7 separate regions of the Mus musculus genome follow, and all the other regions are reported to be linked to region 4. The links are microRNA targets in miRTarBase. Many come from high-throughput screens and were not tested one by one. Region 4 holds a microRNA gene; each other region holds the end of a gene's coding sequence.
What was found. Region 4 holds the annotated microRNA mmu-miR-466f-3p (CAUACACACACACAUACACAC, at 2,504-2,524, opposite strand). A microRNA usually pairs through its seed, bases 2 to 8, with sites in the 3' UTR of a target mRNA and lowers its output. Matches are read on the target gene's strand: a 7mer-m8 pairs with bases 2 to 8, a 7mer-A1 pairs with bases 2 to 7 and ends in A, and an 8mer does both.

Region 1 (4,079 bases), not on the chromosome of region 4:
TCAAGACGATTTTTGGTAGCGCTGGGGATGTAGCCCAGTCAATAGAGTGTTTGCCTAGCATGCAGGAAGCCCTTGGTCTATTCTCCAGCTCTGTCTAAAACCAGGTGTGGGAGCTCACGCCTGTAATTCTAGCACTTGGGAGGGCCTAAAGGGTGAAATTGAAGCTCATGTTTGGTATATGGTGAGTTTTAGGCCAGCACACACACACATGTACACACACGCATGCACACATGCACATGCATTTGCACACGCACACATGCACGAGCACACCTATATGCATACATGTGTGCACAGATGCACACATATGCATGCACACACACACATGCATGTGGATACATATGCATGCACACTCAGCACACACCCTGCAATAGAGATAAGCAGATCTACTTCCTCTGACTTTGTGCCTATTCTTTAATTGGAAGAAACTAAAAATACCTGCCTCAACTATTTAACAGACTTCTCTCTTAAACTACTGGCAGCCATGTTGGAAGTGGGTGGGGAGCATGCACCTGGCCTCTGTGAAACTTACATTGTTTTAACCACTCTCTCCTCAGGTTGGTTCTATGATTGGACCCAGACCTATGACATCGCCTTTTATTTCAGTGGCTTCTGTGTCCTGCTCGGGGGATTCATCCTGCTGCTCGCCATCTTGCCCTGTTGGGATATGTGCAACAAAAAACTACCTAAGCCAGCAGTGCCAACCACCTTTTTCTACAAAGTTGCCTCTAATGTTTAGAGGGATATTAAAAGGCCTTATTTTCTCTATTTTTCTACTTTATACCATACAGCAATATGTGTATGTATGTATGTATGTATGTATGAATGAATGAATATTCGTATATAACAAATTGTTAGGCAGGTTCTAGAGTCACAATCTTATAGCAAAACTTCTCTGGCTGACTCTGAAGGACAACGCACGCTCTGTCTTTGTGTGCCTTGTATAACCTTGATTCCTTGTCTTCCCCTCCCCCACCCCTCGAGAAGTGGGACTGTTCTGTTCTGTTCTGTTTCATGGTTGTTCGTTGTTCATGAGTTCAGAATTAGCCTCGCACAGTTTTCTCTGGATGAAATTTAAAGTCTCTGCTTTCCCCGTGAGTTCTCTAAGGTGCTCAGTGGGTCCTGTCTTAAACTGTGCGCTCCTCACAATTGGATTTGCGTGAAGGAGTAATGGCTGTCTCCTCGATGTCAGACCTGCAAATCCAGAGAAGACAATGAGCCATTTCATTTCCGGAAATGAAAGCGGTTGCAACATCGCTGAGCTGTCGAAGACCTTAGACAAGATAGTTTTAAATCACAGATGTCTGACGTCCGTTTTGTTTTACTGTGCTCGATGAAGTACTGTGAGGCAGTTTGGTGTCCACTGCCTTCGAACTCACTCGATTCCTCCAGCAGTCCGCCTGCATGGCCGGCTCCTAGGACCTTGCTCGCTGGTGTTGATCGGCAACCACTCTGCTGATGTCTCCAAATAACCTGTTGGTTTGCCGGTTTCCGCCTTGGAAATAGACCTTTGAACCATTCCGAAATCTGGCCAATGGGAAGCGCCCATTTGCTTTGAGCACCTCGAGAACGGGTTGCAAGGCCTTGCTTGCATGTCTTCCAAATGAAGTCCGTGGTGGTTTCTCTTGGGCTTTTCCACTATTGCGTTTCGATTTGTGGACAGTGCTAAAAAAAAAAAAAATGATGCTTTCGGTCCATAAGATGTGGGAAAGGACAAGGTAAAGAGAACTCGCTACTCTCACCCAACCGTATTTAATCCCAAGAACAATGTTTGAGGGTGAAAAATAATGTTTAATAAATGGGCTTTTTTTTCCTCTATAGAAATGGGTTTCAAGTTTGGTATGGCTGGAAATGCCCTGTGGAAACTTAAATGCGTGCTACTATGCTGCTTTCCTTTGCATTATTTTTTGAGACAGGGTTTCTTCTGCGTAGCCTTAGCTGATCTGAACTTGCAGTATAGACCAGCCTGGCCTTGAACTCAGATCCACCTGCGGCTGCATCCCAAGTACTGGGATTAAGTAGGAGTACCTTTCCTGGCTAGTACTGTTTTTCTTGAATAAAAGGAAACAAACAAACAAACAAACAAACAAGATAAACCATGAAGTCAGGTATTATAAAACAAACAGCCAAGGGTTCTTTAAGTAAGGGCTCCCTTTCTGTTGTGCCAAAATTTTCCTTTTTTTTTTTTTTTAATATGTGAAATGATTTTGCAGGACTACATTGCCTTCCTTTGGGGACACCTGAAGCACTTTATTACACATCCCGGATAGCACCTCCCAGAGGTACAACTGTGTCCTGTGTCATCAAGTAGAAAGATTCCATCGCATAGTCAGTCCTGTGGCAATGCAATAATGGGGCTCCAAGCACATGAGACTTGTGTTCTACACTCAGACTTCTGGAAAGTTCTTTGTACCTCATTCTTCAGTCTATCAAAGTTAGTAACTAAAGCCTAACTCCAGCTCCAGGGGATCCGGCACCCTCTTCTGTCCCCCACAGCCACCTGTGTATTGGTGGAATATATATATATATAATATATATATATATATATACCCCCACACATAAATAAAAATAAAAAAAGATGTCTTTAAAATTTAGAGCTATGATTTTTTTTAAGCCAAATAAATAAATAAAAATTATACTCGTTTGTATTCCAAGTCTTGTTTTCGTCAATAGTGTGTCCAAGATTCCTGGTGACTTGAGAGGTTTGATTTTGCTGACATGCCTGCAGCCATCAATGTTGACAATTAATGCAGAGGTGTCCTTTCTCATTGATATTACGCATGTGTGCATGAGCCATTGTCTAGACATGGTATATGAGCGAGTTACAATGAAAAACATGGAAAATGATTGTTTATTGTTTTTCTTTCCCGATACAGTGACACTCCAGATGAATTTAAATATATAAGTTATTGGATATAGTTTAGGTCTAGATTGGACCAAAGCAGACTCAAAAGTCATCATATTGAATTGCCTTGACCCCTGGGTTAGCAGAGCTGTTGTCCCAACTGCAGGAGCCTGGCCTTGAGGAAGGAAGAGTCACAGTAATGATTTCACAAACACACAGAACTTTTCCTTTTGAGTTGGGGTCTTGCTATGTTGCTCAGGCTGGTCTGCGCTCCAAGGCTGGTCTGTGCAATAGTTGAGGTGGTTGGTGTGTGGGTACCACTATGTCCAGCTTGATCCTTTGTAGAAGGCTCAAAGCATTCCAAGCTTATCCCGTTTCTCACAATCCTGTGATGTGGTAACCATGACTCTGATTTTATAATACAAAATGTAACTGTCCTGACATGATCACTCTTCACATAAAAGCACAGGAAGGTAATTTCCAAGAGCAAAAATTTTCAAAAAGGTCTCTCTTTGAAGAGACCAAAGCTGTCCCTTTGATTCCTAACTCGGATGGGAAAAGATATCTAGCCAGGAGAGTTTCTGCCAAGTCAAAGGTCTCAGCAGAGAAGTTATATAAATAGGAACACCCGGCAAGAATGAGCATTAAAAATGAACTTAATAAGTTTACACGGACCAGAAGCAAGTCTTCTGTGACTGGAGAGAGATTCCTGGATACTAGAAATGCCAAGAGCTGAGGGTGGGACCAGTGTGGACCCAGGGAATTTGTCTGCAATGCACCTCCTAGTAGTGTTTTGCAAGTCTTCACCTTTGCTTTCTCAGAGGAGTCAGGTGCTGGCCTAATTCTCTCCAGGGAGTCCTGTTGTCAGGAGGGATGCTTCAGTCTCCAGTGTTCAAAGGACTGGTGAGGAACAACCCCTATGAAACAACACAGTGAGGTCATAGCCCAGTGTGTGTGTGTGTGTGTGTGTGTGTGTGTGTGTGTGAGAGAGAGAGAGAGAGAGAGAGAGAGAGAGAGAGTGTGTGTGTATAAGATCTGTCACCTCAGAGAGTCTTAGCTGCCATCAATCAGTACAGGATTATCCTTAGACTGGAGGCTCCGAGAATGAAGGAGAGATCCGTTTTGAAGAAGAGAATGCCTCCCTTAGGAGTGCCTGAGGGGCGCAGTTAGCATCCACAGTGCATTTTCTCCGATGTAATCACTGTCTCTCGGTATCTTTTGTCATCGAGTCCTTGGG
Region 2 (4,079 bases), not on the chromosome of region 4:
AGATGAGGCTGTAACTTGTGGAGTGGATACAATTGGATTAGGTGAAGAGAGACAGTTGGGGTGCTTTGAAGAGATTAAAATGGCTGTCAATCCCATAATTAAACTGCCACAAACAAAAGCAATGGTGTTTTAAACAAAGAGAAAGAGAGAGAGAGAGGGAAGGAGAACTTGGGGAAACCCGACTGGTTTGAAGAGAACCAACAAGTGTTTGTGAATTGGAGATGATGGCAGCGACCCAAGCCTGACCAACTGATTCGGCTAAATGAAACGTGCCTTTAGTTCTGAGATGAGCAGGTGAACCGCCGGAGCGTCAGCCTCTCTAAGACAAAACAGATCCACAAGAGGAAAATAAAGTTAATTATTCAAACCCAGAGAGACCTGCTCCTTGTCCTGAGCGCATTTGGGCCTTGACTTCTCCTCCTTTAATTGGCTTAGGTTTGGCTTGTGTGAATGAAGCCTTTCATGTCCCTCTTTCTCCATGCCCCTTTCATCTTTCTATTACAAATACACAGAGAGCTCGGGAGAAAATACTTTGGTTTTTAAAGACTTCTCTTTTTAAAAGGCTGTGGATTTGGATGGGGGAGGGTGTGTGTGTGATGTTGGTGAATACTTTTTTTTTTCTCTTTCTTTTATCTCTTTTTCTAGAGAGGAGTTGCTTAAACCAATGGGACTAAAACCTGACGGGACAATAACGCCTTTGGAGGAAGCACTCAGCCAGTATTCTGTCATCGAAGAGACCAGCTCGGACACAGACTGAAAGCATCATCACCTGCTCCACTCTCAATATGGCTTTTATCAGCATCTTTTCTCTGTAGCTCCAGGGGAATCTTTTTCTCTAAAACGTTTATGCCCTCGCTTTGGCTAGAAACACATTAACTGGTTTACTCATTGGGAATCCAGCATATTTAAGAGGTAATCCTGTGTTTTCTGCAACATTGAGGCATTCATACAGAGCTGCAGTTAGGCAGAGTTGCGGGGCTAGAAGCAGAAGCAGACATCCCATTGCACCAGGACAGAGTACGGGACTTCACTCGGCAAGCAGCCCTGGTCAGATCTGGCAGTCTTGTTGCCGAAGATTCTGCGTGTCCTTCCACCCACCCATGTCAACTGCCCCTTCTGAGTCTCTCCAGCGACCTGGGGCCCCTGAGGGCCCGAGGAGCTGATAAATAAGGGCTGAGGCAAGTGACTCCTTAGATCAGCACTGACTGAACGAAAGCCAGGCAGCTGTTCTGTAAGCCTAGCCCTACCCTTCATTTCAGTTTTATACAAATGTGGAAACACACACACACGCACGCACACACACACATGGCCCCAGACTTACAAACCTATTACACTCTAAAAGTGTGTCATTTAGCGAAAACTTGAGATTACATTTCTTCCTGGGAGGAGTTAGAAGTAATGGTTTAGTTCAGGCAGCTACACGTGCCTATTTATCCCTCGTTCCTGAACACTACTAGTACCGTAGGGCTGGACCACCATCTGTACCGTTGCGTCCACAGTGTGCATTCTGAGGTATCACTCAGGGTGCCAAGTACACACTCATCCTCCAGGCAACAGAGAGGATGGGGCTCCCCGAGTAGTGGGAGTTCTTTTGTGGCCTGTGCTGGGGGTAGGGAGCCAACAGCACCCGTTTGTACATAAAGGTCATTCGTATGTCACATGTTTTAAACTGGGGTCTCTGTGTGTATTTGTGTGTGTGTTCTACCTTTCTACCATATGTCATCAGTTTAATGGTAACTTTATTTATTTAAAAACAAAGAAACACAAATAGTTACTATTAAACTGATTAAGGCTGTTTATTTTTACTCCTAGAAATGGTCATATGAAGTAGATGTGCAATCATGTAGACAGCAGGCCAAGGTGATCAGTGGCTAAAGTTGAAAAGGGGTTGGTTTCTTTCATATATGTATGTGTGTGTACATGCGCATACATAGATATATGCACACATAGATTATGTGCTTGACCACTGCCTTTTAAAACTTTAAATTAAATAAAACATTGGGGATGATTCAATTTAGCCATCTGTGTGTGTGTTTCTTTATGGATACGTGGTCTAAGGAGACTATTGCACAGCTTATGTTTTAAAGTCTTTCTCCACCTGCTCCCTCACCTGTCATTGTGCAGCCTCTTTCCAGGACAGAGTGTGCATAGATAGCATTGGTGAGAATTCGTTTAGCTTCAATGGTCCCTGGCCTTTGAGCTACCAGACAGATGCCAGGAAGTTCTTAAAATTTACTCTGAAGGGAACCCTTAAAGAGTAGTCACCATCACTAAGATTTATATTCATTTCAAACATGTTTGGTCACTTGGACTTTGAGCCCTCACCCCACACAAAGGCAGAGAAGGTTAGTGTGTTTCAAGCAGGCACCCTAAAAACAGTAAAAGGCGTCAGCCGGGAGTGGGGAGCCTTCAGTGCCCAGATTCCTCCTCCAGATCCAAATGGGGGCCAGTGTGCACAGCAAGGTGAGCAGGAAGAAACACCATCCAAGGCTCAGCAGATAGTGTGTGTGACAGGTGGCCAGAGACAGCTTTCCTAATAGTGGCCCTGAGCGGCTCTAAAAGGATCAACCAAAAGACTTGTAAGAGACTCGGGAATGTCCGTACATCAAGGACTCTCATCCATAACTATTGTTTTAGCCAATGGCACCACCCAATAAGATTTTCATTTTATTCTGCCGTTCATAATTTTAGTTAAGTAGAAAAAAATTCAGAGGAGCAGGAACTTAGTTATTTTGTTACTTCATTCTACAAATTCATTTCAAAAGTATTTTTATAATCTCTGGTCAGATAGCTTTTCCATGAGCATCAGCCTACGAAAGCATGCTGTGCCCGGTGAAACGCCACCTTGCCGCCTCTGCGCAAGTGCTTGCACAGTGCCGTAGCTGTGCTCCGACGCTTTCAACAAGTTCCTTTCACCATGCATCTCTTGCATCTAGGCACTTAATTTTTTTTTTTAAGGAGTAATTCTTTAAAAGATGGAGTAGCTTCACCATGCACACAGAGAGCACTGAGCAGCGAGCTTCATGTCTTCTTTGTAACCTCACCCCATCTCCAAGCAGAGCCTTTCCAGAGAGCTGCTTAACTTCCTAGACCCTCAGCAAGCCAGGGTCCAGCTGTGGGCTTGACACCTGCACCTTCCCTGTTGCATGTAGGACCACTAGCCAGAGGCTTTAAGACAGCAGACAGGCTGCGGAAGGTGGTCCTTCTCAGACCATTTTAAGCAATAACTATTTGAGCAGCAGTCTCTGGTGTTCCCATCAGGGAGGTACCTGCACGAGCGGGAGAAGCTTGGTCAGTTAGCAGATTTTAGGTGAAGACCTGGACACCCTTAGGTCAGAGAGCAACAGTGTGGGTCGGTCCTCCAGTGAGAGGGGTCAGCCAGTGACCACGGCCGTTTACATACACTGGACTTGGGAATGCACGCCCTAAAACAAGGCATTGGAACTCCTCAGAGGAACAGTTTCCAGATGTCTGTGGCCCGTTTGCATGTCCAGTGGTTTTTAGTGGCAGTCAGGGCAAATGCTGTCCTTTCTCTATAAATGACAGGTTGAATGAAGCTTTGCAAATGGCTGGACAGCACCCTGGCACGTGAGTCTTGCTGCCCCCAGGACTAGGTATCACTCTCCTTCAGCTTTCTTTGGCCCCACCTTGTCTATCAGAGTCATACATGCTTCTTGTAGAATGTTTAGAAAGTGCGGAAACAGTAAAACTAGCTATTGACCCAGAGCCCTCCCACCCCCGAGAGCATCACTGTTCATGTTTGGTGTATTCCTTTCCTATATTTTTTCTATGCATATATAATTTATTTTACTACAAGATTGGGATCATGCTGTGTTTACAGATTTGTACCCTGCTTTCCTTAACATTGTGAGCATTTTCCCATACCAATAAATAGTCTTCAAATGTTGATGGCTGTGACATTCCGTTACATGAAGTGTGGCAAACACTGCTGGTCACCGCAATGAGTATTACAACCTGTAACCCTGGCTTCCATCCATTAAAAAGATGTTGCCTTCTGTCTTTTGGGAAAGTGGCCTGGGCCTCTGCACAGTAAAGCCTCAGCAACTGGAATATCCGGG
Region 3 (4,079 bases), not on the chromosome of region 4:
TCCTTAGTTCCTTATCAGGATATGAAGCTTGTTTATCCTACCATTAATACCACCACATTCGGATTTTTGTTGTATTTTTGCCACATATTTAAAACTGTCAATATCTGAAATCTGGAAACAGTGTTAAGCCTTTGACCATTTTTTCTAAAATGTAGTAGGATTACACATAAATGAAGAGAGCGGTAAAATGAAGGTTATTTGTTGGGGGTTTTTGGTTTTTTTTTTTTTTTTTTTAACTTTTTTTCAGCCTGCCCAAACTCAAAAAGGCAACAGGCACCATGTGAGAATTATAAATTTTGGCTTCATTTTTGTTGTTTTTATTTTGAATCAAGTTGGAAATGCTTTTAAAGTTTTATTTTTAAGGACACAATAAAAATTGGTAAAACTGAATTTAGCGTTTATTTCGAGATTATAAATTACTAAGTGTATTTATACCATTTACGTCATCATTAGCATTGGATTGGTCTTAAAGGTTCTGTGTATTTAACAGTATCTGTGCCGTCTGCAGTGTTCTGTCCTTTACTTGGCCTCCATTTCCTTTCCAATTGAGCTTAAGGCCTTCCAGAGGAGAAAATGAAGTTGTGAGTTCAGATGAGGTTTTTGTTCCATTTTAAAAATTCAATACATTGTTTCTATTTACTTTTTAGATTTCTTTTCTTTGGGGGAGTGGTTTCATATGCTGGAAAATATCCCTGTTCCTTTATAAATGCAGTAACAGTAATCGGCAGCTCTTGGGTTGAGTGTAGTAAGTTTGAGGGGGGGCCCCTGTGGTTTGGGGTAGCTTGTTTTTAGTCTTGTCTATTGTGGTTTCCATGTATATGAAAGGCTGTCAATATTACTCAGCACTTGCTGTGCCAAGTTGTGTGTGTTCCAGATATTCCTACTTAACCTTAAAATCACTCCCAGGAAATGAACACTTATCCTGTTTTTCAAATAAGAAAGCTGTCTTCCGTGGGGTACCCACCATGTGGACAGGAGTTTTTGCATACACACCTTCTAACTTTACTAAAAGTAGATTTAAAGTGTATTCCAGGATTGTAGGCTGTTGGAGCTCCAGCACTCTGAAGCTGGCTTCCTTCACTGTACTTTTTTACCATGTTCCTTTTTTACAAATATTGAGATTAGACTTCAACAATAGCCAGGAATCAGAGAGGTTAAACAACTTACTGTCTTCAACTGTTAGCTTCATCAAGATTAAGATACTCGATTCATTGTTGCAGAAGACTCTCTTCTCTTTTCCTGTCCCTCCAATCCTGTTAGTTATTAATGTTTGTGTATTTGTAAAACTGGTTCACCATTCACCCTGTGTTAAAACTGTAGTTCTTGGTTTTTTGTTGTTGGGAGTTTTTGTGTGCAGTGGGTGGGGGGGATAAAAACTTGAGGCATGTAAATTTTTATTAGTAACAGTAGTTTGTAAAGAAGTAAAAGGCTTTTGTAATCCAGGTTTTGTTTTTGCAGATCACATTTCTTTGTTGGAGAGTAAAATAAACTGGTCTAGGAGCTTTAAAAAAAAAAATCTTGGTTTTTCTGTAGACTTTGTTGTACCTTACAGGTATAACTACCCAAGCAGATACTTGTCTCTGAGGTTTTAGAGATGTATTACTTGATTTAGAACATTGCCTATGAAAATATGGGGGGGGGGGGGAAGTTGCATAATTTAGAGCCATTTGAAAATGGATTAATAGATTTAAGGTAAAGTCAGTCTATCATACTACACACTGCCACCAAAATACATAGGAAGTGAACACTGTATGGCTGCCTTCGGCAACCAACTGGTGGATTCTGCCATACTTACTGAAGGCTGCAGGAGTACACACACACACACACACACACACACACACACACACACACACACACACACACACACACCCACCCACCCACCCACCCACCCACCCACCCACCCACCCACCCACCCACCCACCCACCCTCCCTCAAAGGCAGGCTTTCTCTGTAAATAGCCCTCCTGGCTGCCTTTTTTTTTTTTTTTTTTTTTTTTTTTTTTTTTTTTTGCTATTTGTGCCTCCTGAATGAACTTACAGCTATGTTTTATTAGTGTCTATTGAAGTGTTTATGCAATCAGCACACATCTTAGTCCAAATTAGAGATCTGGGCATATTGCTGCATTCTAATGCATACATAAAAAAACAAAAGTATAGGCAGAGGCACAAAAAGACTTTGTTAGTTGTTCCACTGAATCACACCAGGGATAATCCATCCTCTGCAGGTGGGATTGTTTAAGCAAATAAGCAAAAGCTAATTACACTTTTGGTTTTGAGACCAGGTAAAGCACTTGCTGTTCTGTAACTCATATCTGCCTACATACAAGGATTTTCGGTAGTTTGAATAGTCATAAATAAAATGTTTAAATTCCCCATCAGCACAGAGGAAGCATAGTTCAGCTGGGCAGGGCTGTGCACACTGTCAATCTCAGCGTTCAAGCTAGAGAGACCTGTGTCAAACAGCATAGTAGCATCACAGTCATCCCAAGTAGACAATCATAAATCACTTACATAAAAAGAATGTACTAGGGAGGAAAGGTTTATTTATGAATTTTATTTTTCAGTCAGATTATAGTTTTGTGAACTTGTCCTTTAGGATACTCAATGTTTGACTTGAACTCTTGCTCTGAACTTAATTGAGAAAACACAATTTAGCTCTTCTGCTCATAAAGATTGAGAAGTAATTGTTACTGGGTTTAATAACACAAGAGACTTTTTCCCTTTGCCAATGAAAATGAGGGGTTGCACATAATCAGGCAGGGGTGACTTAGGGTTGATAAAGCCAAAATGAGTCTTTGGGTTTAAGATGGTTGGGGAGGAAGTTTTGTCCTACATCTTTATATCTCTTTAAAAAAAAACAGGAAATGTAGCTTAAATCTTTTCAATTATAAAAACTTAATACAACAGATTTCACACATCAGTTACATTGATTCACTCTGGCACTTAAGCACAAGGGCAACCTTTAAAAATTGGAGACCTTCAAAATTAGGCCATAAGATTTTTAAAAAAAAAACAGTTCATGGTCTTACATTCATCAAATTCACACTAAAAATAGTCTTATTTTTGTAGAATAAAGGCTAAGAAAACATTACATATGTTACAAGCTTATTACATGTATTTACATGACTTTAAATGTCACAAACACAACTCCCTACTTCAAACAGGCTTTGTATATAGGTGAGGCCAGGATCACTTTAGCAGCTTTGTGGGGTGCTAGTCAGCACTGTCTGTTTTTAGAATAGACTTGGTACATCTCTGGGTACTTATCCACTGCATTTAAGAAATGACCACTGGGACATGTGCTGCGCCGCTATCTTTTGAAAAATGCCCAAGATAGTTTGGATGACCCTAGACCATGAAACTGAACTGTGCAACCTTGTATATGCTAAATGCACTGTCTGACTTCTTCAGAAGTTGTGTGTTAACCCATAAATCTTAATTTTTCCCATCAAACAATAAAAAAGTTAAGGTTACTATTTCCCAGATCTAAACTTGAATTTACCAAGTAGAATCAATTAGTCACTTAAATTGTTGAAATTGCATCGACACTGTATAGTGTGTACAGCACATAAATCAGATGTCATGTGTAAGCGTCACAATTTAAAGTTAACACCTACTAACTTTATACCTGTACCTTAAGTAAGGTTTTAAGTTGAAATGTCATCGTTTCCTTATCTGAAGGGTTCAAGGAAACATGAACCCAGTGGCTTGGTGGCTTGGGGAGAACACTTGGTGATGGTGGTTCACTAAATTTGGCTCCAGCATAGTTCTGACTAGCTTGAGACTTAAAAAGCAAGCTAGGACTTGATAAACCAGCATTCCAGTTGGAGTTGTTAGAAAGGCTCTTGGTCTTTCCCCCATTTTGCATGGCCTGCCATGCTGCTGCTGCTGGATTGTACCCATGTCCTCGTTCCTTTTTCTTATGAGCAATCTTCGTCTGGGAAGAATTCTGATCCTTGCTCTTCTGTCTATTTTGCTGTTCTTGGTTCTTACTAGCATTTCTAGATTGAGGGTCTGGAATGTTATACCTCTCTCCGCCACCCATCTTCAGCTTCTTTGTCACCTGTAAGTAAATACATG
Region 4 (4,072 bases):
AACCTCCTAACTGAGACATAGCTCTTGATCAGTACTGCATAAGCTCTAAAGTTCTAAGTCACATACCATTCAAAAGGATATATGAGTGCCATTCCTGTGTGTGCTTGCGTGTATGTGCATATTCATATAGAGAAGTGAATATGCACACAGCTATACACACATGCACATTCTTGTTGGGCATCACATGAATCGCATGATGAACTCTAACTCATCATGAAGTTAAACATGAATTTGAACTCCAGATCCTCCAGACTCTGGCAAGCGTTTCACCTCCTAACTGAGACATAGCTCTGGATCACTACCGCATAAGCGCTAAAGCTCTATGGCACATATCATTTCAAAGGATATATGAGTGGCATTACTGTGTGTGCATGTGTGTATATGCATATTCATATAGAGAAGTGAATATGCACACAACTCTAACACATGCACATTCTTGGTGTGCATCACATCAATTGCATACTGATCTCTAAATCGTTGTGAAATTAAGCATGAATTTGAACTCCTGATCCTCCTGACTCTGGCAAGTGTTTCACCTAGTGAGTGAGACTTCTCCTTGACCCATTTATACATAGCTCTAAAACATTAAGTTACATATCATTCAAATGGATAGATGAGTATCAATTTTGAGTTTGTGTGTGTGTGTGTGTATTTGTGTGTGTCTCTGTGTGTGTGCATGTTGTGTTGGTTAGTTTATATGTGTATATTTATATGCATATATTAACATGCACACATACATATATGCACACATGCACATACATAAGAAACATCCCAGTCTGATTTCTATCTCTTCATGAAGTAAATTTTGTATTTGAACTCTCTCTTCACCTGACTCTGGCAAGTGTTTTTACCTTATGAGTGAGACTATTACTGACCCAGTACTACATAATATTTAAAGCTCTAAATTATATATCATACAAATGGATCAATGAGTGCCATTCATGTGTGTGTGTGTCCATGCATGCATGTATGTTTGTGTGTATGTATATGTATATTCATATACACATATACACATGAACACACTTATGTATACACATATGCACATTCAAGGGGAGACATCACATGAATCCAGGCTGATCCCAAATTCTTCATGAAGTTAAACATGAATTTGAACTCCAGATACTGATGACTCTGGCAAGGGTTTTTACCTGGTGAATCAAAACTTTCAGTGGCCAAGTACTACATAATCTCTAAAGCTCTAAGTCACAAATAATTCCAATGGATCGATGAGTGCCATTCATATGTGGGTGTCACATGTATGTGTATGTATGAGTTTATGTATATGTATATTAATATACACACATACATCACGGGATCATCACAAAAATCTCAGGCTCCTCTCTAACTCATCGTGAAGTTAAGGATAAAATTGAACTCTTTTATTATTAGGTATTTTCTTCATTTACATTTCCAGTGTTATCCCAAAAGTCCCCCATACCCTTCCCCCCCCAACTCCCCTACCCACCCACTCCCACTTCTTGGACCTGGCGTTCCCCTGTACTGAGGCATATAAAGTTTGCACGACCAATGGGCCTCTCTTTCCACTGATGGCCGACTAGGCCATCTTCTGATACATATGCAGCTAGAGATACAAGCTCCGGGGCGTACTGGTTAGTTCATATTGTTGTTCCACCTATAGGGTTGCAGATCCCCTCAGCTCCTTGGGTACTTTCTCTAGCTCCTCCAATGTGGGCTCTGTGATCCATCCAATAGCTGACTGTGAGCATCCACTTCTGCGTTTGCCAGGCCCTGGGCCTACTGACTCTGGTAAACATTATCACCTGCTGACTGAGACCCCTCTCAGGCCAAGTACTGCATAACCTCCAAAACTTGAGGTGACATATCATTCAAATGAATCACTGAGTGCCATTCATGTCTGTGTGTCTTTGTGTGCCTGTATATGATTGTATGTATGGATATGTATATTCATATACAAACAGGCAAATGCACACAAAACTATACACCCATGCACATACACGGGGTACATCCCAGGAATACCAGGCTGATCTCTAACTCATTATGAAGTTAAGCATGAATTTGAACTCCAGATCTTTCTGACTATACCAATCGTTTATATCTGGTGAGTAAAAAGTTTCATTGGCCCAGTACTACATAATTTCTAAAGCTCTAAATCACATATCAATAAAATAAATCGATGAATACCATTCCTGCGTGTGTGTTGATGTGTTCATATGAATGCGTGTATATATGGGTGTGTATGTATATGTATATTCATATACACACATATACATGCACACACAACTATACGCACATGCACAAACATGGGGGGCAAAACATGATTCACAGTTTGATCTCTAAATCCTCATGAATGTAAGCATGAATTTGAACTCCTGATTCTCCTGATTCTGGCAAGCATTTTCAACTAGAAAGTGAGAGCACTCACTGGCCCAGTACTACATAATCTCTATAGTTCTACGTCACATATCATTCAAATGGATAAATGAGTGCCATTCGTGTGTGTGTGTGTGTGTGTGTTACATGAGTGTGTATGTGTGTGTGTATGTATACATATATTCATATACACACATGCACATGCACACACACGTAAACACACATTCACATACATGGGTGGCATCACATGAATGCCAGGATGATCTCTAACTGAAGTTAATCATGAATTTGAACTCCTGATCCTCCTGACTCTGTCAACCATTTTCACCTGGTGAGTGAGACCGTTCATTGACACACTACTGCATAATCTATAAGACTCTAAGTCACATATCATTCAAATGGATCGATGAGTGCCATTCCTGTGTATATGTATTTGTGTGTGTGCATGCATGCGTGTGTATATGGGTGTGTATGTATATGTATATTCATATACACACATATACATGCACACACAAGTATACACACATATAGAGCAAGCAACACACAAATCCCGGGCTGATCTCTAACTCATCATGAAATTAAGCATAAATTTTTACTGCTGTTCTTCCTTACTCTGCAAGCATTTTCACCTGGTGAGAGAGAGAGAGCTCTTTTGGGCAAAGGAATACTCAATCTCTAACCTCTAGGTTGCATATCATTCACATGGATTGGTAAGTGGCAATTGTGGGTGTGTTTGTGTGTGTGTGCATGTTTGTGTGGGTATGTATGTATATGTATATTCATATATACATACATTTTCATGCACACATAAATATACACACATGCACATACATAGGGGTCATCACATTAACACAAGGCTGATCTCTAACTCATCATGAAGTTATTATGAATTTGAACTCCTGATTCTCCTGACTGTGAGAAATGTTTTTGCCTGGTGAGTGAGATGTCTCACTGGCCCAGTAAATTTACATATTATACAAATGGATCGATGAAAGCCATTTCTGTGTCTGTATCTGCGCATGCGTGTATATGTTTGTGTGTATGTATATGTACATTAATAGACACACATGCACATGCACACAAAACTATATACACATGCACATACATTCATGGGGGACATCCCATGAATTCTAGGCTGATGTCTAACTCATCATGAAATTAAGCATGAATTTCATCTCCTAATCCTCCTGAGTATGGCAAACATTGTTACCTGGTGAGTGAGATCTCTCCCTGGCACTGTCCTGCCTAAACTCTCAAGCTCTAAGACACATATCATTCAAATGGATGTGTGTGTGTGTGCATGAGTGTGTAAGTGTGTGTATATTCATATTCATATACACAAATGAACATGCACACACAAGACACACACCTGCCCATATATAGGGTACAGCCCATGAATCCCAGGCTGATCTTTAACTCATTATGAAGTTAAGCATGATTTTGAACTCTGGATACTGATGCTCTGGCAAGCCTTCCCTGGTGAATGAAAAGTTTCAGTGGCCCAATACTACATAATCTCTAAAGCTCTAAGTCACATATCATTCAAATGGATCAACGAGTGCCATTCCTCTGTGTGTGTTTGTGCTTGCGTTTATACGTGTGTGTGTATGTATATGTATATTCATATACACACATGCACATGCACACACAACTATACACACAGGCACATACATGGGGGGCATCACATGAATCACAGACTAATCTCTAAATTCTCAGGAAG
Region 5 (4,079 bases), not on the chromosome of region 4:
TCTGCAGGGCTCACATCCCTACCTCAGTGCCATCTGAGACACAGAACAGGACCCGCAGCCTTTCCTACCAAAAACAACGCCTTCCTCTCATTACGTTCTGGTGGTGGCCCAGAAGCTACTTGTCGGTAGTTGACCATGCTTGTCACCTGCAGGAGCCACTCTCCTGTGCCAGAGTCACCTTAAGTGGGAATGGCAGCAGGCCAGCCTGTGGTCAGTTATCCCCAGGACAAGAAGAAACCAGTCTGGATGAGGAGAGCAAAGGACTCGTCCCCTCCTCTCAGTGTCCTCACCCATGTCACTGCTGACTTTGTAGGAAGCCAGAGAGAAGACAACAGTCCTGTTGCCATCTGTCACAGTCAGGATGTGGCCACAATGGCTTCTGGATATATCAGACATTTCCCGGGGTGGGGTGCTGTCCTCAGGCTGTGCTTGTCTCTGCAGAGGTGTCCTGGCCCCCTATGCTGTGCCCTCGGAGCTCCTGCTGGTGGAGGAGATCCCCCGGAACCAGATGGGCAAGGTGAATAAGAAGGAGCTGCTCAAACAGTTGTACCCCTCAGGACAGAGGAGCCAGCCAGGCCAAGGCTAGAGAACCCCAAACACCCCGCGGTCACGTGCTATGGGCCTCGGATGGAACCCCTCCCCTCCTGCAATCAGGTTGACCGGAATCAAAACCTCTAGGGACGAATCACCAAGTGAGTTCCCTCAACCCCAGGCTGATTGTCCAAGCCCAGGTGACCCTGACCACTGGCTGTGTCCTCAGTGGTCCTTGAGATCACTGGTGTGTGCCAGTCTCACAAGCACAGTAAGGACACGGCTGTGGCCAGCTCTCCAGTGCCCGGGGCTGCTGCCTCTCCTGAGGGCAGGTCCCAGAGAGTCAGAGGTGACAGTGAGAAGAGGTGAAATAAAGACACACCGTGTAGTGCTTCTCTGACTGTGACCTGTGAGCTGTGAGTCTGCGCGCACACATTTCCTAGGCCGGCACAGCTCCCAGCCCACGTAGAACAACAAACAACAGCACTGGGTGGAGCCTACAGCTCCCAGACCATGGTTCCTGCTGCCGGGATTATCTCCCTGGAGCTGCTGTGTGTGTGTGTGTGTGTGTGTGTGTGTGTGTGTGTGTGTGTGTGTGTGTGTGTGTGTGTGTGTGTTAGAACACTTGAAGTCTTTGTAGCCTCATCCATGCCAGGTGAGGGCCATCCCCAAATAGCCCTGAAGCTCCTCTTCCCTGACCTTGTCTCACCCCAGTTTGGGGTCTTTCTGGTCCTCTGTGCCTTCTTCTCAAACCTCTTCCTACTCAGCTTCCCAGGCCTCCATCTTCCAGCCCACGTCCTGCCAGCTCAGATCCTGGTTATGTGCCCTCAGGCCACGGGGAGAAACAGCACAGCGCTCTTGAGCTCTCCCTCTCCCTCTCCTCCCTCTACCTCTCCCTCCCATCTCTCTCCCTCTCTTGCTCTCCTCTCCCCCTCTCGCTCTCCTCTCCCTCTCCCCCTCTCTCTCCCTCTCCCCCTCTCTCTCCCTCTCCCTCCTCTTCCTCCTCTCTCTCCGCCTTCCCCTCTCCCGCTCTCCTCTCCCTCTCTTCCCTCTCCCTCTCCCTTTCCTCCCCCCTCTCTCTCTCCCTCTCCCTCTCCCTCCTCCTCCCCTTCCTCTCCCCCTCTTGCTCTCCTCTCACGCTCACTCTCCCCCTCCCCCTCCCCCTCCCCCCCTCTCCCTTCCTCCCCAGACCCCTGGGTCCACTGTGTTAACAATAGCCCTGGGGCCACGTGTTAACAATAGCCCTGAGTCCACATATGGCCCTCAGCAATCTGCAGAGATCACTGATGGGGCCTCTGATGTTGCCACAAGGCCTGGTAGAGCTCCAGGTGAGACTGGACGATTCATTGTTGGAAGGAAGATGCTGTGCCTCCAGAAACCAGGATGTGGAAGGAGCTGTTGGATATCTGGGCCTCCCAGAGCCAGTCCATGGCGGTGATCCCCAGGGGCAGGATTCCCAGAGAATCCCAGTGCAGTCTGTGGGAGTGACCCTATGCAGCATCACCCTGTGTTGGGCCATCTTGCTCAAGAAAACACATCTGCTACTGGGCTCAAGACCCTGGACTCAGTGGAAAAAAAGCCTCAGGAATGGTGGGAGGTAACTTCACCTGGAGCCCTTCCATAGCAGGTATCACAGGCCAGCCCAGACCTCAGTCCTTATATTTCCAAAAGATATCCTCACAAGATCACGGAAGGAGGCACCTGTGCTGTGCACACCTACTCTGTTGACCCTTGGCCAATGCATCAAGGCCTTCACAGGGAAGCCTTGTGCTCCTGGGAGATGGAGAGCAACCAGGCACTTTCCTGGTGAACTGAGCCTGAGAAGACAGCAGGGCACTGCCCACATGGCCCAGCATAGTGAAAGATAAGATGCCCTGGGGCCATCATATAGACCCAAAGCTGGAGCCACACTAGCTCAGATAGCCATGCAGAGTGGAGAGTAATGTCAGCCTAGCCACAGGAGATCTGTATACACATACACACACACACACACACACACACACACACACACACACGTCTCTTGCCATTCTCTGTATGGTGTTCTCAAGGCCACTGTGGCTTGACTGTTTCTAGACAAGACATCACCTGCCAGAATGGGGAACATCCATTGTCACACTTGCCACATTCCTGTGGGTGCAGTACTGGTGGCTACGGCCCTTGTAGAACCTTCCAACACCCAAGAAGAACCACTTCCCCGATATCTGGCACTCTGGCCCTCCGTGTTGGTCCCTGTAATTGTTTCCCCATTGTAGCCGTGAGCAGATCAGAGCCACCATCACAGGCCCTGGTAGAGCCAAATGCCCTTACTAACATCCACCATGCGGTCAATTTAGCTCAGCAAATAGATCGATATCAAATTATCCCGATTCACCTTCATAACTCTTAAGCTAGCAATAGTGGAGGGGAGACAGGGTCACTGGAAATAAATAGCCGTGAAAGGCCTTCGTGATCTATCACCTGAAGACAGTCGCAGCATCCCACGCCAGCTGCTGACACGGTCGTTAATAAAGGCCAGGAAAGCGCTGTCAGCTACAGTGAAGGATAGCCACAGGTCAGACACGGGGACCTGCCTCACACTGGCAGGCAGGGAACAAGATGCACTATTTGTTCCCTGAGCCCTTCTCAGAGGTGGCAGTGAGTACTACCCAGGCAGAGATGCTGCATGCTCCTGTCTGTGGGTGCTTTTTACACATTGAGAGGGGCACCTCTGGCCTTCGAATGAAACAACCGAAAGTTGAAGGGAGTGGCTGTTTAATCTGAGAGAGAAGACTGTGGTGTAGAGTGTACTCACTGCTCAGGTCCAGAGCCCTCGGCCTCCATCTGTCCTGGCCACCTCTCCGGTGTCCCTCCCATCTCTGTCCCATCTGCCTAGGGTATTTTTGTGTGATCAGAGGTCGGTATGTGAGCTCCCATGGAACTGCTGTGTACATATGTGGTACACATGGACAACCGCCTCTGTAAAAGTGAGCCCGTGTAGGGGAGGCTAATATCTCTGCACACTCACAAGTGACCATGTTTGTGTGCAGGCTTGTAAAAGGGACTTTCCTGAGGAATGTGGGTGTCACATGGAGTGCTCGGGCTCAGACCAGGCTCGGCTGGGTCAGGCGCATCTGTATGTCCTATCTTTGGTGACCCTTCTGAAGCACAAGGAGGTCATTGGCCTGCAGGGTATAGCCCTGAATGACAGGTTGATCAGATAAGGGTGAGGTAGACCATTAAATGTCCTTCATCCCAGACTGTCAGGCCCCCACCACCAGTTAAAAACCAGCAACAACCAGCTGCCACACCAGCAGTGCCTAAAGCACCTGCTTGAACAGGAATGAGCTACTCCTTAAAAAGGGACAGCACGCCATCAGGCTGGCTGGACTGTGCACACATGCCACCAGGCACACACATGCATTGAACATACATAAAACATATGTACACATGGCTGTCCAGACAACACAGTTCTGGTCTCAGAAATGCCTCCCTCGGTGAAATGTCAGTTGTCTCAGAGGCTCCAGCAGCCAATATCTGCCTGAGCAGCGTTAGATGTTCTGGAAGAAAGG
Region 6 (4,079 bases), not on the chromosome of region 4:
AAGAGGGGTAGGGAGAGTCCTGTGTGGCCAACCCACTCTCTTGAAATGACACCTTGTCTCTTCTATTTCCTGTAATCACCTTCTAGGGTGCTTCTCCGCCACCATCCTACCCTGCCTCACAGCCCAGGGACTTGGGAACGATTCGAGAGGCACTCAGTGCTGATTAGTTTTGGTCTCAGCTGCCCTTCAAGGTGAGCTTCTGGGTACTGAAGCCATGAATTCAAAGCCATCAACGTGACCCATCCATCCCTCTAAGGAGTCTTTTGCCCAGGCAGAGCCCAGCATCAATTTTGTGAAAATAGACTTTATTATAGTAAAATGTCTTTTTAAACAAATGCCCCCACTATCCCACACCCCTGGAGACCAGGGTAGGGGGCGAGGGTTCAATCAAACATCTCCCACCACAGCGAAGAAAACATGCAAAGAGACTCGCCCAGACAAGGGGTGAAGGATGGGATGGTTAGAGTGAGGGGAGACACCCCTACCCACTCTGAACAGGGAATGTATGAAAATAGCTGCATAAATCCGTCCTTTCCCTCAGCCCCTGGACCCAACAGGGACTGGAAGAAAATGATGCAAGAGAGAAGTTGAATCCAATGAGCAAAATAAGGCAAACCCAACTCCTGCTTTCTGCCCCCTGGTCCCCTGGGTCTGAGAGGATGGGATCACACAGAGGCCAGGTGGCCTGGGCAGGGAGGGGTGGAGCACTATGGGGCGGGGTCAGGCCCGCTTTGGCATGGCCTTTCTCCTCCCCTGGCCTGTGCGGTGAAGCAGAGGGAGGACCTGGACTGAGGCACTGAGTATGTACATATATACACTGAGTATGTACATATATGCACTGAGTATGGACATATATACACTGAGTATGTACATGGCTCTGCCCCCGCCCCAGGGGACAGTCCAGTGCAAACGATCCATCGGGAGGACAGCCAGAGCCATCGTTAGAGTGGTCCCTATCTCCACCCAGGGCCTATCCTTGGAGCAGGGAAGGCCAAGAAGGGACCTACAGAGCGTGGTAGCAAAGCAGGAGTAGATGAGAACAGACTGGGAATCCAGAGGCGTGGGTCCAGTCCTGATCTGACAGTGCTTGGTGCTTGATTACTTACTCTGGGGCTCAGTTCCCTCTGGAAGAGCCCATCTAGAGGACTCCTCACTAAGGGTGCAGGTAACCCCACCCTCACCAGGTCCCCTGGGCTCCTTTGAGTGCCAGTCTGCTCAGAGATCAGGAGTTGGGTTTCCCTGTCCAGCCAGTGAGTTGATCCAGGGCCACTTCTGTCTGCAGGACAGACGGACGGCAGCCTCAGTCTTTCCTGGAGCCCAGCCTTTTGAGAAGTTCCTTTGCTTTGGCGAGGAGACCCTGCTTCTTCTCAGCTATGCTCTGTGACTCCCCCAGTTTGGTCCTGGAGGAACTTCCAGAGCTGAGGGCACAGTGCCAGCCTGGGGGCACTGGAGGCCCTTGTATGGTGATTCTGGGGTCCTGAAATGTAAGAAAGAAGGGTAAGGCCAGGGCCAGCTCCTCCCACCCATGCCTTTGCTCCTTTGTTCTTCTGTCACAGACCTTGCTGCTACTGCAGACACATATACACACACACATATACACACAAACACATACACATATACAGATACACACAGACACATACATATAGATACACACACGCTCAGACATACAGATACATATAAACATACAGATACACACAGAGAGATACACACACTCACAACACACACACATACAGATACACTCACACATACACAGATACACTCACACACACACATACAAATAAGCACATACAGACACACTCACAAGATACACACACACATACAGATACACACATTCACACACACACACACAGACAGACAGCCATACTCACAAGACATACACATATACAGATACACACATATAGTTCGACACACTCACAAGACATACACACATACAAATAGACCCATACATACAGATACACACAGAGAAACACCCACTCACAAGACACATACAGATATGAATGCACTCACACATATACACACATACAGATACACATAGACAGACAGACATACTCACAAGACACACAGGCACGCGAGTGCACACACACACACAGCATGGAGGTGAAGGGAGATGATAATGAGAACCTGCTTAAGGAAGTTCCATGGGACAGAATCTGGGCTCTGCTTTGTCGTTGGTAGCTCGGGGTGTCTGGGTGTGTCCCTTCCCTTACTGGGGCCTCACTGTAGGTGCCAAGCTGACCCTCTTCTCCCAGCCCTCTATCTCTCTGCCCCGGGGAGGAAGAGCAAGGACAAAGACACTTAGAGGTAGGAACACCCTCCCAGACAAGAGGTCAGGCACCATCTCCATCAAGGCAGGAGGCACAGTGCTTCGTGGGTCTTTGGAGAACCAAGCCAAGGAGAGATGGTGAGGCTCTGCCCTGAATGGCCCCTGAGGGGACTTTCAGACAGGCCCTCCCTGAGCACCTTCTTGATAACCCTCCTCCCTGCTCAATCCACAAGGCTGAGTCTCCTCCTGACTCAGGCCCACCAGGCAGTGCTCTTTGGTGACTTACGGGCAGGAAATCTGGCCAACCAGGTAGTCACCAGGAAGCTATTCCCAAATGAACGTCACCTGAACCTGGGCTTAGCCTTATCAACTCTTGATAAAACTGCGTTTTCTCTTTTTTTTTCTCTCTCTCTCCAGTCCCCACTGCTGCCAAGAGCTTAAGAAGCTCCTGGCCAAAACCAACCAGAGAGCCCAGACTAGAACTGAAGGACTGGGTACGCAACCATAGCTATTGCTGCTGCTGCTGCTGCTGCTGCTGCTGCTGCTGCTGCCGCCGCCACCACCACCACCATATGGGTGACTTGGCAGAGGAAACAACAGAACATACAGAGTGACTCTGTCCAGTCCTAAGGGTCAATAAACTTACAGCCAAGGCTCATGGGAGGAAGAGGGGGCTGGGGAGACAAAAAGAAGGGTTCACTGAGCCCCAAAGAAGAATAGCTTGAGACTTCCAATAGATTTCATCTATTCAAACTCTCCCTTTTATCCTCTAAGCAAAGAAACTTAGGAGACAGGAATAAAAGCAGATTTCTGATAGTCTAATAGTTTGAATCACAGAGGACCAAGGTGGGAAGACTATTATTACTGGTGACGTGGCTGTGTCACTTTCCTGTCACCAATAATAATCACAATATTATAATACCACAGCCATATAGTATCATAATACCACTGAGTCATAACATGAGTATCACATGATGTTCTATAAGCTGCATGACAGACAGAACATGAGGAGTCAGCTAAGATGCAGTGTCATATGCTAGGATGACATGCCACCCCATGACAGCTACCTGACACTGCCCAGGGTAATGGCAAGGCAGGGAGAGCGGAGGGCCCATACCCACACCTGGCTCATGGCAAGATCGCCCTCTCCCACTCATCAGCTCCATTTGAGATGAAGTCTAGTGAGGTGAGGTGGGGAATGGAGGTTACATGAGACACGGAAGCCAGTCCCCCACTTACATGTCTCTACACTAGCTCCATCTAGCACTGGACTCTTCTCCTCCTCGTTCTCTGAGAACAGGGAACAAAGAGAGGAGACGGGTTACCAACAGGCCTGCATGCTCTCCGTCAGTCACCAAGTGGCGCAGGTACCTGGTGGCTCCAGCTTCACACAGCCTTTGCGTTGGTAGCCACTGTGTGGGGTTTCTGGTTGAAGCTCAGCCTCTTCACACCCTTCCTGCTCTCTGGGTCTGGACACTTAGTTGCATTCCACCCATCCCAAGGAGACCCATGTAAAGAGAACCCAAGAAGTCGGACCTTGCAGGGCAACTGGTTTCAAATGGTACCTGGGAGGCACCCAGACCTAGCAAGGTAGGAGCACCCTGAATAACTGGCTAGTGGCAAGGGTCCTTTTCCACAGGGCTCCTCATGTGCATCAGCCCCTGGGAATCATCAGTTAGGTCAGACGGCCTGAGAAGCAGGGTCCCTGCCATTACTGATCTGCAGACAGGGGCATATAAGAGGACAGGGTGGCCTAGTGGAGCCTTCCTCTGCTGAGCACTTAGGGTTCCTTGGTATCACGGACTCGGATCTCTGA
Region 7 (4,000 bases), not on the chromosome of region 4:
CGTAATGAAATCTGACGCCCTCTTCTGCAGTGTCTGAAGACAGCTACAGTGTACTTACATATAGTAAATAAATAAATAAATCTTAAAAAAAAAAAAAAAAGAACACCCACCAATTTCAAATGACTAATTCTGGTTTCTCCTGTTTCCAAAGGGAGAATGCCCTGGAACCGCATGGTTTCCTAAACATACACAGTGGCCGGCCATGGATCCATGGGAAGGGAAGGAATGCAAGGCACTGCCCTCCCGCCCGCTACCGGCTGCCTGGTCTCCCCCGCCCTCTGCACAGGGATATTTCAGGCTCTCCCAATGTCAGGCTCCTGACATGCACCATATGTAGCTGCAAATCCTAATCAATTGCAACATTTCTTAACTGCTGGAACGCCTTCCCCAGCACTGTAATTTACCCTCAAAAGAACAGGGAGCAAGCACTTTCTCCTTCCCAGAACCATATTCTACTAAATGCCGCCACCCTCCCAAGCAGAGCGACCTACGCAGAGGAAGGCAGAGAGTGCTCCTCCAAAGCCCGGAACAGACGGCCACAGTACATATGCCACTGACGAGAACTTTTATTTCTTTTTAATGACATTAAACACAACTGCTACAAGGGGAAAAACATGATAAAAAAGGAGGCACCAAACTTCAGTTTCATAATCGACCCCGACAACAACTCGAGTAAATCAGAGCCCGATGAGCTGCAGAGCTATTGTTATTTCGGCTCCTGACCTACACAGGAACTATTTATCAACAACACATTTTAGCTTTGCTTTGTCAAGACCCCTATGGTAAGAACGTCCCCAGGGATGATAAAAGACAGGAACACAGTTAAATGCACATAACCCTTACTCAAATTTAAAAATACAGCAAGAATTAATTTAATCTACAAGACTTAGAGGCCAAACCCAAACATAAGAGATATGCAGCTCTGAAGAGATTAAGCCCCGGCTTCTGGCCAGTACCATCTTTAAGGCTAACATGCCGGATGAGTTTTCTTTGGCTTTTTTCTCCTTAAAGAATACCATGTTAACCAGTACAGAACAGCTCTCTCCTCCCCCAGTCCACCAGATTTAATTAGCTGCTAACACTTTGGAAAAACAGAATTATCTGCGCTAGAGGAAATGTGATTGTCACATTTTCTAGTTAACCTGTCACTCATCTGCTCTGACAGAGGCAGCACTCCCATTATACATTCAGTCTTAATTCCTCCTGGTAGCAGGAGAGCAGGAGCTTTGCTGTCCCTCCACTCCCTGGGCTCCCCGTGGGAACCATTCAGCCCCAATGCTAGCTACTCCAGCGGTAGCTAATCTGCACTTTGTTTTGGTCCCATAGGTGGGTTGTTTGGCATATCTCAGTCTAACAGGCTAACTCACAGCATCTTGGACAAGTCAACTGAGGTCAACAACAAGCGTGCCCATCAAGAGAGGTGACTGGACTACTGCCTTTCAAAGTCTGGTCCCAGAATCTAAACCAAATAACTAAGAAATAGAAAAGTCTTTCTGGGGGTGGCGGGTGGGGCGGGGGGGGGGATGTCAAAAGCAGGGAGTGGTGGTGCACACCTTTAATCCCAGCACTAAGAAGGCAGAGGCAGGTGAATCTCTGTGAGTCCTGAGGCCAGCCTGGTCTACCCAGACAGGAGGGCTACATAAAAAAAAAACCTGTCTGAGGGGTGAGGGGCTGGAGGGAGAGAAAAATCAGAAGTGCAAGACCATCTTGGGTTAAATAGTGTGTTGATGGCTAGCCTAGGCTTTATAGGAGACCCTGCCGCAAAAAAGGAAGGAAAGAAGAAAAAACTTTCACTAGATAAAACTAACACACACTTGGGAACATTTATCCAAACCTATTAAAGGCTTGAAAACAAAACAAAACAAAACAAACAAAATCAAGATTTTCCTAATCACAGTCACTTTTTCAGTCCAACAATGGTGATTCATCCTTTTACTCCCAGCAGTGAGAAGGCAAGGTAGGCAGAGCTCTGTGAGTTAAGGCCAGCCCAGTCTAAGAGCGAGTTCCAGGACAGCCAGGAGTATACAAAGAAACCCTGTCTTGAAAAGCAAAAACAAAACAGAACAAAAAGATCATTTTTCTGAGGCAGAGTAGACTATTCAGGGTGGGTTAGCCACATATAAAATGAGACAGAGGCTAGGCAACTATGAATCACTCCCACAGTGACTGCAGCAGCAGGAGTGTCATATTGTAAACCCTCTCAGAATGATCTCTAGAGCTGCCTGTAAGAAATACAGATCTTTTAGGACATCCATTAAGACAGTACACAGAGCCTAGCGCTTTGGTTGGAACACCACACCTTACGCGGTGCATGGTGGTGGTGCGGTGCACGGGCTCAATCGTACTTTCCCAAGATGCTCAAACACTAATGTGAAACAATGGACCCAATGCTACAACTACAACGCTAACATCCAGGGTATAAGGGTACCTGTAACCAACGGGAGAGGCCAGTGACTCTCCCAAGGATTTCATAGGACGAAGGTTCCTTGAACAGCAGCAACACATAAACTCGGGTTCCGAAGACAGAACTGAAGATTCCTAGACATCCCAATTGTGCTGGCCTAACAACAGTCAGGATTCTGTGCCGGCCTAACGACAGTCAGGATTCTGACAGGATTTCTTCAGCAGACAGAGGGCACCTGAGAGCCATGTCTCAGTCTAACAGGACATAAGAACACTTACTGCAAAGCTTCAGGACTAACCGGTCACTGGGAGTGGGAAAAGGAAAAGAAAACAATGGGGCAGAGAAACCAACCAGTCACAAGACCACAGAGTATTGAACAAGGGTTATTCAGCTGTCTTCTGTCAGTTAAGATGTGTAAGATTTCAAACATTATGAACGAAATATATCTAATAGAGAGTGAAAAAAGCCACTAATAATTTTTTAAAAAGGCAGCTAATAGGTACAGAAAGGAGAGGATTTACACTTTTAATCTAGCCCTTCAACAGGACTTTTCTCCTTCTCCTATTTCAAATGTACTGAATTGGCAACATTAAAATACTGACAAGTATTCAAGAAACTCAAATTTAAAAAGAGGGGTCGTTAAAAGTGACTTCTATCTATTCACAAGTCAACAATAATAATACCGGCTCTTAGCTTGCAAAACAGCCTCTTCCTTACAGTAGACTGGAAGGTGAGTCTGCCTGCCCTTACAGCTGGTATTTTACTCAAAGCCTGACTGTTCTGACTTAATGCAGGCCTTCAAAAGAGAATTACCTTCATTTAAAATTTAAAAACAGCAACAACAACAACAACAGTGAACAAACAGAAAAACAATACTTAACACTGCTGAAACATATTCACCAGACAGACATACAAATCAGGGGTGGGGGGTGGCCCTCATTAAAAAACAAAAATTCAAGACAGTAATGGGCATTTCCAAAAGGTGACAAATTCTTTAAATAAAAATCTTGTGAAATAAAACTCAAAATATACAAACAAAAATAGCAGAGGAAAATGTGATGCTGCTCTGGACGGGACCCTTGGCAGGAACTGTCACTGTTGATGGGATGAGACATATGGACTGTAGGAGAAGTCTGGGAGACGCTGGAACCGATGGTGGCTCCGCTTGTTTCTGTCAACCCACTGACTCAGACTGTACCTCTGCAGAGGCCTCTGTCGGAACCGGGCGTAGTTTCTATTGAGAGAAGGAGAATAAAAACAGGAAGCGTTTTCAGCTGGAACTGTCATCTGTATACGAAATAGCTAGCACAACTACTTTTAAAGCTATGTTTAGCCAGGCAGTGGTGGCACACACCTTTAATCCCAGCACTCGGGAGGCAGAGGCAGGCGGATCTCTGAGTTCTAGGCCAGCCTGGTCTGCAGAGTGAGTCCAGGACAGCCAGGGCTACACAGAGCAAGCCTGTCTTGAAAACTCCTAAGGACTGTAAGGATCAGATTATATGGTTGCTGTTGTCTGTCTGTTTGAGACAGGGTTTCCATGGAACTTACTTGTTGGGAGCAACCCTGCTTGAACATTAACTGCTTTACTGCCTTGTC

Region 1: the mRNA of Slc16a9 is a reported target of mmu-miR-466f-3p. Seed matches in the 3' UTR shown: 7mer-m8 at 794-800 and 7mer-m8 at 2,499-2,505.
Region 2: the mRNA of Ric8b is a reported target of mmu-miR-466f-3p. Seed matches in the 3' UTR shown: 7mer-m8 at 1,682-1,688.
Region 3: miRTarBase lists Pnrc2 as a target of mmu-miR-466f-3p. The part of its 3' UTR that is shown has no 7-base or 8-base seed match.
Region 5: the mRNA of Acsf3 is a reported target of mmu-miR-466f-3p. The part of its 3' UTR that is shown has no 7-base or 8-base seed match.
Region 6: miRTarBase lists Tspoap1 as a target of mmu-miR-466f-3p. Seed matches in the 3' UTR shown: 7mer-A1 at 854-860 and 7mer-A1 at 812-818.
Region 7: the mRNA of S100pbp is a reported target of mmu-miR-466f-3p. The part of its 3' UTR that is shown has no 7-base or 8-base seed match.

Annotation. Positions count from the first base shown.
Region 1 is chr10:70,283,320-70,287,398 of GRCm38, forward strand. It overlaps Slc16a9 (solute carrier family 16 (monocarboxylic acid transporters), member 9), which reads left to right. Exons shown (of 6, transcript NM_025807.3): 6 at 555-2,632. The coding sequence ends at 736. Among named protein-coding and RNA genes, the nearest start is that of Gm40687, 4.4 kb to the right of the region's middle.
Region 2 is chr10:85,014,431-85,018,509 of GRCm38, forward strand. It overlaps Ric8b (RIC8 guanine nucleotide exchange factor B), which reads left to right. Exons shown (of 10, transcript NM_183172.2): 10 at 646-3,907. The coding sequence ends at 757. Among named protein-coding and RNA genes, the nearest start is that of Gm34633, 12 kb to the left of the region's middle.
Region 3 is chr4:135,868,393-135,872,471 of GRCm38, forward strand. Pnrc2 (proline-rich nuclear receptor coactivator 2) reads right to left here. Exons shown (of 3, transcript NM_026383.3): 3 at 2,534-4,062. The coding sequence starts at 4,044. The coding sequence ends at 3,622. It also overlaps a transcript of Srsf10 not described here. Among named protein-coding and RNA genes, the nearest start is that of Pnrc2, 3.4 kb to the right of the region's middle.
Region 4 is chr2:10,467,181-10,471,252 of GRCm38, reverse strand. Mir466f-2 (microRNA 466f-2) reads right to left here and starts at 2,578; the gene lies at 2,485-2,578. All of the region lies in intron 10 of Sfmbt2 (Scm-like with four mbt domains 2), which reads right to left. Mir669f (microRNA 669f) reads right to left here and starts at 4,024; the gene lies at 3,904-4,024. It overlaps Mir669e (microRNA 669e), which reads right to left and starts at 3,758; the gene lies at 3,640-3,758. It also overlaps Mir669b, Mir669d and Mir669l.
Region 5 is chr8:122,816,951-122,821,029 of GRCm38, forward strand. It overlaps Acsf3 (acyl-CoA synthetase family member 3), which reads left to right. Exons shown (of 10, transcript NM_144932.4): 10 at 442-937. The coding sequence ends at 586. Among named protein-coding and RNA genes, the nearest start is that of Gm35466, 4.4 kb to the right of the region's middle.
Region 6 is chr11:87,782,134-87,786,212 of GRCm38, reverse strand. Tspoap1 (TSPO associated protein 1) reads right to left here. Exons shown (of 32, transcript NM_172449.2): 31 at 3,503-3,553; 32 at 285-1,477. The coding sequence ends at 3,524. It overlaps Gm34064 (a long non-coding RNA gene), which reads left to right. Exons shown (of 3, transcript XR_388944.3): 2 at 87-191; 3 at 2,681-3,032. Among named protein-coding and RNA genes, the nearest start is that of Mpo, 9.6 kb to the left of the region's middle.
Region 7 is chr4:129,147,454-129,151,453 of GRCm38, forward strand. It overlaps S100pbp (S100P binding protein), which reads right to left. Exons shown (of 7, transcript NM_001379590.1): 7 at 549-3,638. The coding sequence ends at 3,497. Among named protein-coding and RNA genes, the nearest start is that of Fndc5, 12 kb to the left of the region's middle.